Arabidopsis thaliana: one gene and its partner. The protein of the gene in region 1 interacts with the protein of each later gene in a pairwise test. Each region holds a gene or a part of one and is shown on either strand. Other genes may lie near its edges.

Region 1 (4,365 bases):
GTAATGCTGCTTTCGTTCTAACTTTGAGATTACTTTCTAACTTTTGATGAGACATCAAATGTTTGACCCCTCACTCTTCTCAGGCAAGAGGTGATGGACCTGATGGCTCAAAGCGGAAAATTTGATAAGAAGTTCAAAGGTTTTACAAGTGAGTTTCTTCAGACATTGACATGTAGTTGTCTTGAAAAACCTTAAGCTTCATGGAGTCTGACAACTTTGGCTTTTGTAGGCACCAGTGGTCCTTTAGGGAAGAAGCTGAACAACTCTAAGACACGAGCGGAGATAGGATGGGAGCCGAAGTATCCAAGCTTTGCCCAATTTTTTGGAGTATCGACATAATATTTTTACTTGGATTGATTAAGAATGTCTCTAGCGCTGAAGAATCCAATAATGTGAAGCATTATTTATGTTTGGTACAAACAAACTCATGTATCCTCTTGAGTGATCAAACAGCTGAAATTTTCAGAATTCTTCATAAAGCTCCATGGTTCATATATATAAATCATATTTTGTTAATTTACTTAATACAGTTAGCAAATGGGTTGAGAAGTAAATAATCAACGCAAACTTAATCAGTTTGAATAAAATATATAAACGTGGTTAGATCATAATAATAAAGCATCTTATAAATCATCTAATTAGATGGATTTTAAAGGTTTCTGTCAAGATGTAAAAGCTTGTGTCTTGTTCATTACCAAATTAAGATTCTAACAAAGAAATAGGCCAAACATACGAGGCCTCAGGTATGAGCCTAACAAACACATCCATGCCTCCATCTCACCCACATAATTTGATATGAAGGTTTCATTATACCTTTATTAATAAAAATACTTAATTCATTAACATGTTCACAAATCATCTCATTGGTGATATGTGCAAGCAAATAATCTTATCAGTTATCACATTTGGTTTCTTAACACCAGTTATGGAAGGTTGTTATAAGTTACACAATGTCTTATAATTAGGGTGATGGCCCATCACTGATGGGTGATGTTTTATCTATATATAAAAAAATCTTATATTAATTTGGCTATATACAAACATTGAACCAGATTCAGAGGGTTGCTAGGCGTATGATATGTCTGAAGTGATTAATTCGACTTTAAGAAATTTGTAGCCTAATGCAAAAATACTTTGTCGGATTTAGAAGGCCTAACAATTAGGAACAACACCTAATGCAAGACGTTCCAACCACCTGATTATTTATTTAAGTTAAATGTCACTAAATTTCTAAACTGCTCCGCAAGTTTTAGGGTTCACACAGAGTTGACACTTTTTGCATTGCATTTTGGGCCTTCATAGAGAGATGAGGAGTAATTACTAATTAGCTTTGTTTTCCGATAAAACTTGTGAAGAAATGAAAATGATATGTATATGTCTAAGAAAATCACCAAAGCTTGAGACAATTGATCTCATCCTAAAAATATCTCACATTATGCAACAAAATGTCTCCACATGTTATATTTACAAAATCATGAGTAACTTGGAGACGACATTGCAAATTAACATCATTGACATCAGTAGATACTCCATCGCAAATTGTCAAAAATCACAGCTCCATATTTTCAGGCCTAAAATTAACCACCGACCATACATCCCGTATTCTTAATATCGATATTGATTTTAAATGAAAGGAACTCATCGCTTAAGACAAAAAAAAAAACAAAAAAAAAAACAAGAAAGAAATTCGAAGTTATGGTTTCCTCGATCAGAACAAGTATTAAATTTGCATTAAAATTGGTTTAATAAAACGAGAAACTAAAGAATTTGCTGGTTGGCAAACTAAGAAGTCAGAAGTCACCAGCAATTTACAGCCAATCAGCTATGCAAAAGTTATACTATTTGCTACTGAGTGATCACATTATATTGTGCAGAAAAAAATAAAATCCAGGAAAACTTGAACCAAACTTTTGTTTTTTTGTTTAAAAAGAGAAAGAAAGAAAATTAAATAGGGGACAAAAATGAAAATGCAAGAATGACTCACTTTTTTTTTGGTTTAAGGGTTTATAAGAATGACTCACTTTTTCTCCAAGACCAATATAAAATGGAGGTTTGCATGAAGAAACTATAATTCAAAGCAGTCAACTAGCAAGAGAAAGAGAGAAAAGTGAAGATGTTCCTCAAGGTTCATGAAATTGCTTTTCTCTTTGGTCTCTTAGGTAATTTATTTCCCTTATTCTTTTATGCTTTTGAGTTATGGTCAGAATATGTAAATAAAATCAACAATAAAAGTGACGTATCATATATTTCCAACAGAGTATACATGTTCTTTATTTTTTATTTTTTATTTTTTGAACAACAGAATACATGTTCTTTATATTACTTAACATTTATACCCAAAATAAAGAAGTTCATAACACTAATATTGATTCTGGCTTTTGTTTTCAGGCAACATTGTGTCTTTTGGGGTGTTCTTGTCACCAGTGTAAGTTTCTAACTCGAAATGCTATATATTAAAATAGTTTATATAAAGTATTTGATTAATTATACATATTTTAGGCCAACGTTTTATGGGATATACAAGAAGAAATCATCAAAAGGGTTTCAGTCGATACCGTACATATGTGCACTAGCAAGTGCAACTCTTCTTCTCTACTACGGAATCATGAAGACACATGCTTATCTGATCATTAGTATTAACACCTTTGGATGTTTCATTGAAATCTCCTACTTGTTTCTCTATATCCTTTATGCACCAAGAGAGGCCAAGGTTCCTATAATTATATATTTCTATTTATAGTATGGTTGATATTTTTAGTATGTACACCTCTAGTTTCAAAAATCTTGATTGTGATGAAACTCTATATCTACAACTAATTAATCTGGTGGTACACTTGGCAGATATCCACGTTGAAGTTGATAGTGATATGCAACATCGGTGGACTTGGTCTCTTAATTCTTCTAGTTAATCTTTTGGTTCCAAAACAACACCGCGTCTCGACCGTTGGATGGGTTTGTGCTGCCTACAGTCTCGCAGTCTTTGCTTCTCCCTTAAGCGTCATGGTGATGATCCATCTATCAGCTTTTCTTCAAACATCTGCCGTTTTTTGTAGTGAATTGGAAATTAATATACAATGTGTAATGTTGCAGAGGAAGGTTATAAAGACAAAGAGTGTGGAATACATGCCGTTTCTTCTCTCCTTGTCTCTCACTCTTAACGCCGTCATGTGGTTCTTTTATGGACTTCTTATCAAAGACAAGTTCATTGCTGTAATATTAATTGACATTTTCACATTCATCTTTCAATATTCTAACTAGTTTTTGGTTACTAATAAGTCTCTCTATGTCGCTTTGTATTCAGATGCCAAACATTCTCGGTTTTCTATTCGGTGTAGCTCAGATGATACTATACATGATGTATCAAGGTTCCACGAAAACGGATTTGCCAACAGAGAACCAACTAGCAAATAAAACCGATGTTAACGAAGTCCCGATCGTGGCCGTTGAATTGCCTGATGTGGGATCAGACAATGTTGAAGGATCGGTGAGGCCAATGAAGTGAAGGGCAAACATGCATGGGGAAGATGTATGGGAGACGACATGTTATCGTATGTTGGAATAATAAACTTTAATTTCTATGTTTTGTCGGTTTGAGTCGGTCTAACCAAAACCAATGTTATATTGTTTTGACTTTTGATCATCACCAACCCTTGATAAAAGATAATCTAGTCTACGGTATTTAAGTCTATGTCGATGCGTACCTAAGCTAAGCTCCATGGAACTATCAGTTAAAATGCTTTAACAGTTGGAACTGAAAAAAATAATCAATCTAATCCAAATGGTTGTACAATCAACAGATGGAATAAAATATTTAGATGAATTTTCATTATTTATTTATTTATTTATAGTGGAACCACAGGAAAAAAATATTATAACTAATTTTGCTTGAAAAAGTTGAATTATAAGTTTTCTTTAATACATTGTTGGATATAATCACATTATTCTTCTATAATCCTATCCCATTTATGTGATCTATTTTATTCATCTTTTTACTAATTTCTCCCACTTTTTATTTTGGTCGGCACTAATTTGCTCTAAGGCTCTAACAACAACAAATCTTTACCATAACCAAGTTTTGATGTCGGCACAAAAAAAAGACTGAATGTGTCATAAATGGTTGCGTTGAGAGTTGAGACGTGTTGGTATCCTGCATGATTGTGCCGTGAGAGTCTGACTCATGCAGCAAGGACCTCGCTTTTCCGCAGCCACAGAAAAACAAGCTGATTGGTTCTGCTTTATGATTCCATTATTGAGCTCCCAAGAAATTGAATGTCATTTCTACGTTAGCTAATGGTTGTGTCGTTTTTTTTTATGGGAGTAGACTTGGTAGTGATAGGGCCAGATTTTTCATTTACCATTTCCCAA
Region 2 (3,607 bases), on another chromosome or scaffold:
CATACCTCTCCAGAAGGAATTCTGGTGTTTTGTCGTACAAGTGCACCAGCAGCAACCATCCCATGCTTTTCAACAACGACCCCATCAAGAAGTGTCGCACCCATCCCAATAAAGGTCTCATCCTCAACAGTACATCCATGTAAAACAGCACTATGACCTGTTACACATTTAATTTAAGACTATATCCCAAATGCTTCTTGGAGATGTATGCATATTAAACATTTTCAAAATAAACAGTGAGTAAGAGATTCCCACTAACCAATGGTTACATTGTCTCCAATTATGGTTGGGTGCACCTTCCCGCTTAAGTTTGATTTTGCCACATGCACAAGTGAGTTGTCCTGAATATTAGTTCCTGACCCAACACTTACGGTGTTCACATCGCCTGCGCAGAAAAAAAGAGAGAAAGCAAGTTTAGATTGTATGTTATCCCAGTTTCCTGGTAAAGTACTAACAGGCTTAGCCATACAGTACCAATGTGTTATGACATGAAAGCATTCTGTAAAAAGGACAACCCTATTTCATCACCATTAAATAAAAATCCAGACTAGCCAACTCATACTCGCAATAAGGATTCAACTCAAACTCAATAATCTGTATATGATATCGTTCAACTAATTCTGGTGTTATGACATGAAAGCATTCTGTATATGATTGGGGATATCATATACCCAATCACCCATTAGAGCAACTGCCAGTATCATCAAGATACGATATGTAGTAATGATCTGTTTAAGATCCTTCAATAAAGCTAGAAAGCTCCATTTTGAGTAGTAGTCTTGTTCATCGCTTAACCAGAAGAGTAAAAAACAGATATTCGTTCACTATTTTCTATCGTAAGAGTTGACACAGCTAAGGATACAGAAGTAGATACTATTTCAAACAAAACTTCAGTCACTAAAATAGTCAACCACCAAACACCAAACATTGAGGCTTAGTAGCTAGCTCACCTCGTAATACGCATCCATACCAAATGGACGATCCTCTTCCAATGTGAACGTCCCCAATAACTGAGGCGCTTGGTGCCACAAAAGCTTCCTTGTCCACAATCGGAGCCTTATCAAATACATTCATCAGTGTCCGATGCCTTGACACTACACAGAGAAAACCACAATTACATATAAGCAAATTTCGTGACCAGGAAACAAAAAAAAAACTAAGCAGCAAAACACATTCCACATCAATTAATCCCTTGTGCCATTCGAATCCAGAATCGCTATACCTACAAAGACATCAATTCCAGATCTCTAACCTAACCAGAATAGGTGAGCTGAATTACCCAATCGAAACTCCTCACTCTTTACGAATTCGAAATCGGAGTGAAAAATAGAGTTACGCAGAATCTTACGTTGTTCTCGGAAGTAATTTTTGCCTTGAAGGCGACAACCGAGGCGATCAAGAGCTTGACCAGTCTCACGGATCCAAAAACCGACCGAGTAAAATGCTCTGCCTAGGGTTCCCATTGATCGTCACTTTCTTCGAGCTCACAGGTAAACGAGGACTCAACACTGAATGAAGAAGACGAAAATGGTCGAAGCTGAAGAAGAGACGGAAGAAAAAAAATCAGCGAAAATGGATTTCAACAGGAACATTCCGGGACGGCGAAACAATAAATTACAGTTACAGTGGTTTAATATGGTTTAATCGAACCAAAACAATACGAAATATGAACCAAATCTAATTCGATATTTCAGGTAGTAGTTTCATTAAACCGATTATATTATTCGGTACGAATTTATTACTATATTTTCACTAAATTGAACGGTCCAAAACCTGCCGACCAAAAATCAAATGGCCCTATCAGTAACAATGTCGTTTCGTATCGTCGTCACTTGCAACGCATAACACGTGAGAAAAGATAAACATCGGGTAAAAATGGCCCACTGGTGGGTGGAGAATGGTAATAATTCAGTTTAAAAGCTAAGCCTTCTCACTGATTAACTCAATCATTCATCCGTCTCTGCAAACAAAGGAAGAAGAATCAAGATGGCTCTGGAAATCTGTGTGAAAGCTGCTGTTGGTGCTCCTGATCATCTCGGCGACTGTAACCATCTTCTCTTTCTCTCTCTGTTTTTGTTTTGCATTAAGCTTTTGATTTTGCAATTCTTAATTTCTGAGCTTTGATCGTTGGTAAATTTACTAATTTAAGTGTTTGTTTGTCGTTTTAGGTCCGTTCAGCCAACGGGCTCTTCTCACACTCGAGGAGAAGAGTCTTACCTACAAAATCCATCTGATTAACCTCTCTGACAAACCCCAGTGGTCAGTTTCTCTCACGCCTAAACCCTTAAGATCGGTCTAGTTTGAACTTGTTTAGCCATAATCTCTGAAATTTTACTTGTAACTGGTACGAGCTTTGTGTTAACCGGAAATTGGATTGGCTTCATGTGCGAGCATTGTGTTAACCGGAACTTGAAATTGGTGGCTTTGGTTTTATATATGATGCAGGTTCTTGGACATTAGTCCTCAAGGGAAAGTACCAGTGCTTAAGATCGACGACAAGTGGGTGACTGATTCCGACGTCATCGTTGGTATACTCGAGGAGAAGTATCCTGATCCACCACTCAAGACTCCTGCTGAATTTGCCTCTGTTGGATCCAACATTTTTGGTACTTTTGGGACATTCTTGAAGAGCAAAGACTCCAATGACGGATCTGAACATGCCTTGCTTGTTGAGCTAGAAGCTTTGGAAAACCATCTTAAGAGTCACGATGGCCCTTTTATCGCCGGAGAAAGAGTTTCCGCAGTGGATCTAAGCTTAGCACCAAAGCTTTACCACCTTCAAGTTGCTCTTGGCCATTTCAAAAGCTGGTCTGTCCCTGAGAGCTTTCCCCATGTCCATAACTACATGAAGACTCTGTTCTCGCTCGACTCTTTTGAGAAAACTAAGACCGAGGAAAAGTATGTGATCTCTGGATGGGCTCCCAAGGTTAACCCTTGAAACTATGCACCGTTATGAGATCGTTGGTGTGGTAATGTTGTTCAAGGTCTCTCTCTTATATCAGTCAAATAATGTACTTGGACCTTTTTATGTAATGTACTGTATCAATCAAATAAGAAGCCTATTTTGAAATAAGATTTGCCTCCATATCGAAACTCGGATAAACACTGGCTACACGTAACATAAGGGACAAGGGTTTTTTCAGACAAATTATTTAAGAAACTCATCGACAGTACTTGTGTACTTGACCTCAGGATAAAGCTCAGAAGTCTTAACTCCAAAAGAAGGATCTATAGTCAAGGAGGTAAAGTCGCTCTTCGCAAGGACCGTATGGATCAAACCCACAAAAAAATCCATTGGAGGCTGGGTCTCTGCAAATGCAAGTGACTCGTTTAATACTTTGGAGTTTGGACTGATGAATATTGGATATCAGAAACTGTTTTTATGGTTTAACTGATCACCTTTGATGGTTTTGAGGAGTTCTTCCTCAGAAACATAAGTCTTGTCGAGACTCGAGAGTCTTACCGATCTTTACATCCCACAAATCAACCATATCGTTCTGCGATACAATGTTCTTGGGCGGGTGAATGTAGGGTTGGGTGAGATTTTCCAAGAATGTTCCTGGGAGAAGGCAGTTATAGTCGCACCGTCAGCAGTCGTAAGGTAATC

Evidence for each region. Proteins that work in one complex are often made in the same cells at the same time.
Region 2: the proteins of SWEET9 (region 1) and DHAR1 interact in a protein complementation assay, tested with the Arabidopsis thaliana proteins (one large-scale study listed by BioGRID).

The regions. Positions count from the first base shown.
Region 1 is NC_003071.7:16,305,955-16,310,319, reverse strand, and holds SWEET9 (Nodulin MtN3 family protein), read left to right. Parts: upstream 1-1,957; 5' UTR 1,958-2,113; coding exon 2,114-2,159; intron 2,160-2,388; coding exon 2,389-2,425; intron 2,426-2,499; coding exon 2,500-2,710; intron 2,711-2,841; coding exon 2,842-3,003; intron 3,004-3,090; coding exon 3,091-3,210; intron 3,211-3,301; coding exon 3,302-3,502; 3' UTR 3,503-3,829; downstream 3,830-4,365. Other genes in the region: EMB2799 (NAD(P)-binding Rossmann-fold superfamily protein), read left to right, coding at 84-148, 230-339. UniProt on the Arabidopsis thaliana protein: Mediates both low-affinity uptake and efflux of sugar across the plasma membrane. Nectary-specific sugar transporter required for nectar production by mediating the secretion of sucrose from the nectary parenchyma to the extracellular space.
Region 2 is NC_003070.9:6,772,793-6,776,399, reverse strand, and holds DHAR1 (dehydroascorbate reductase), read left to right. Parts: upstream 1-1,876; 5' UTR 1,877-1,986; coding exon 1,987-2,044; intron 2,045-2,168; coding exon 2,169-2,259; intron 2,260-2,445; coding exon 2,446-2,938; 3' UTR 2,939-3,098; downstream 3,099-3,607. Other genes in the region: GAMMA CA1 (gamma carbonic anhydrase 1), read right to left, coding at 6-157, 260-385, 951-1,094, 1,349-1,463; AT1G19565 (uncharacterized protein), read left to right, coding at 3,269-3,321, 3,430-3,521. UniProt on the Arabidopsis thaliana protein: Displays a dual function. As a soluble protein, exhibits glutathione-dependent thiol transferase and dehydroascorbate (DHA) reductase activities. Key component of the ascorbate recycling system.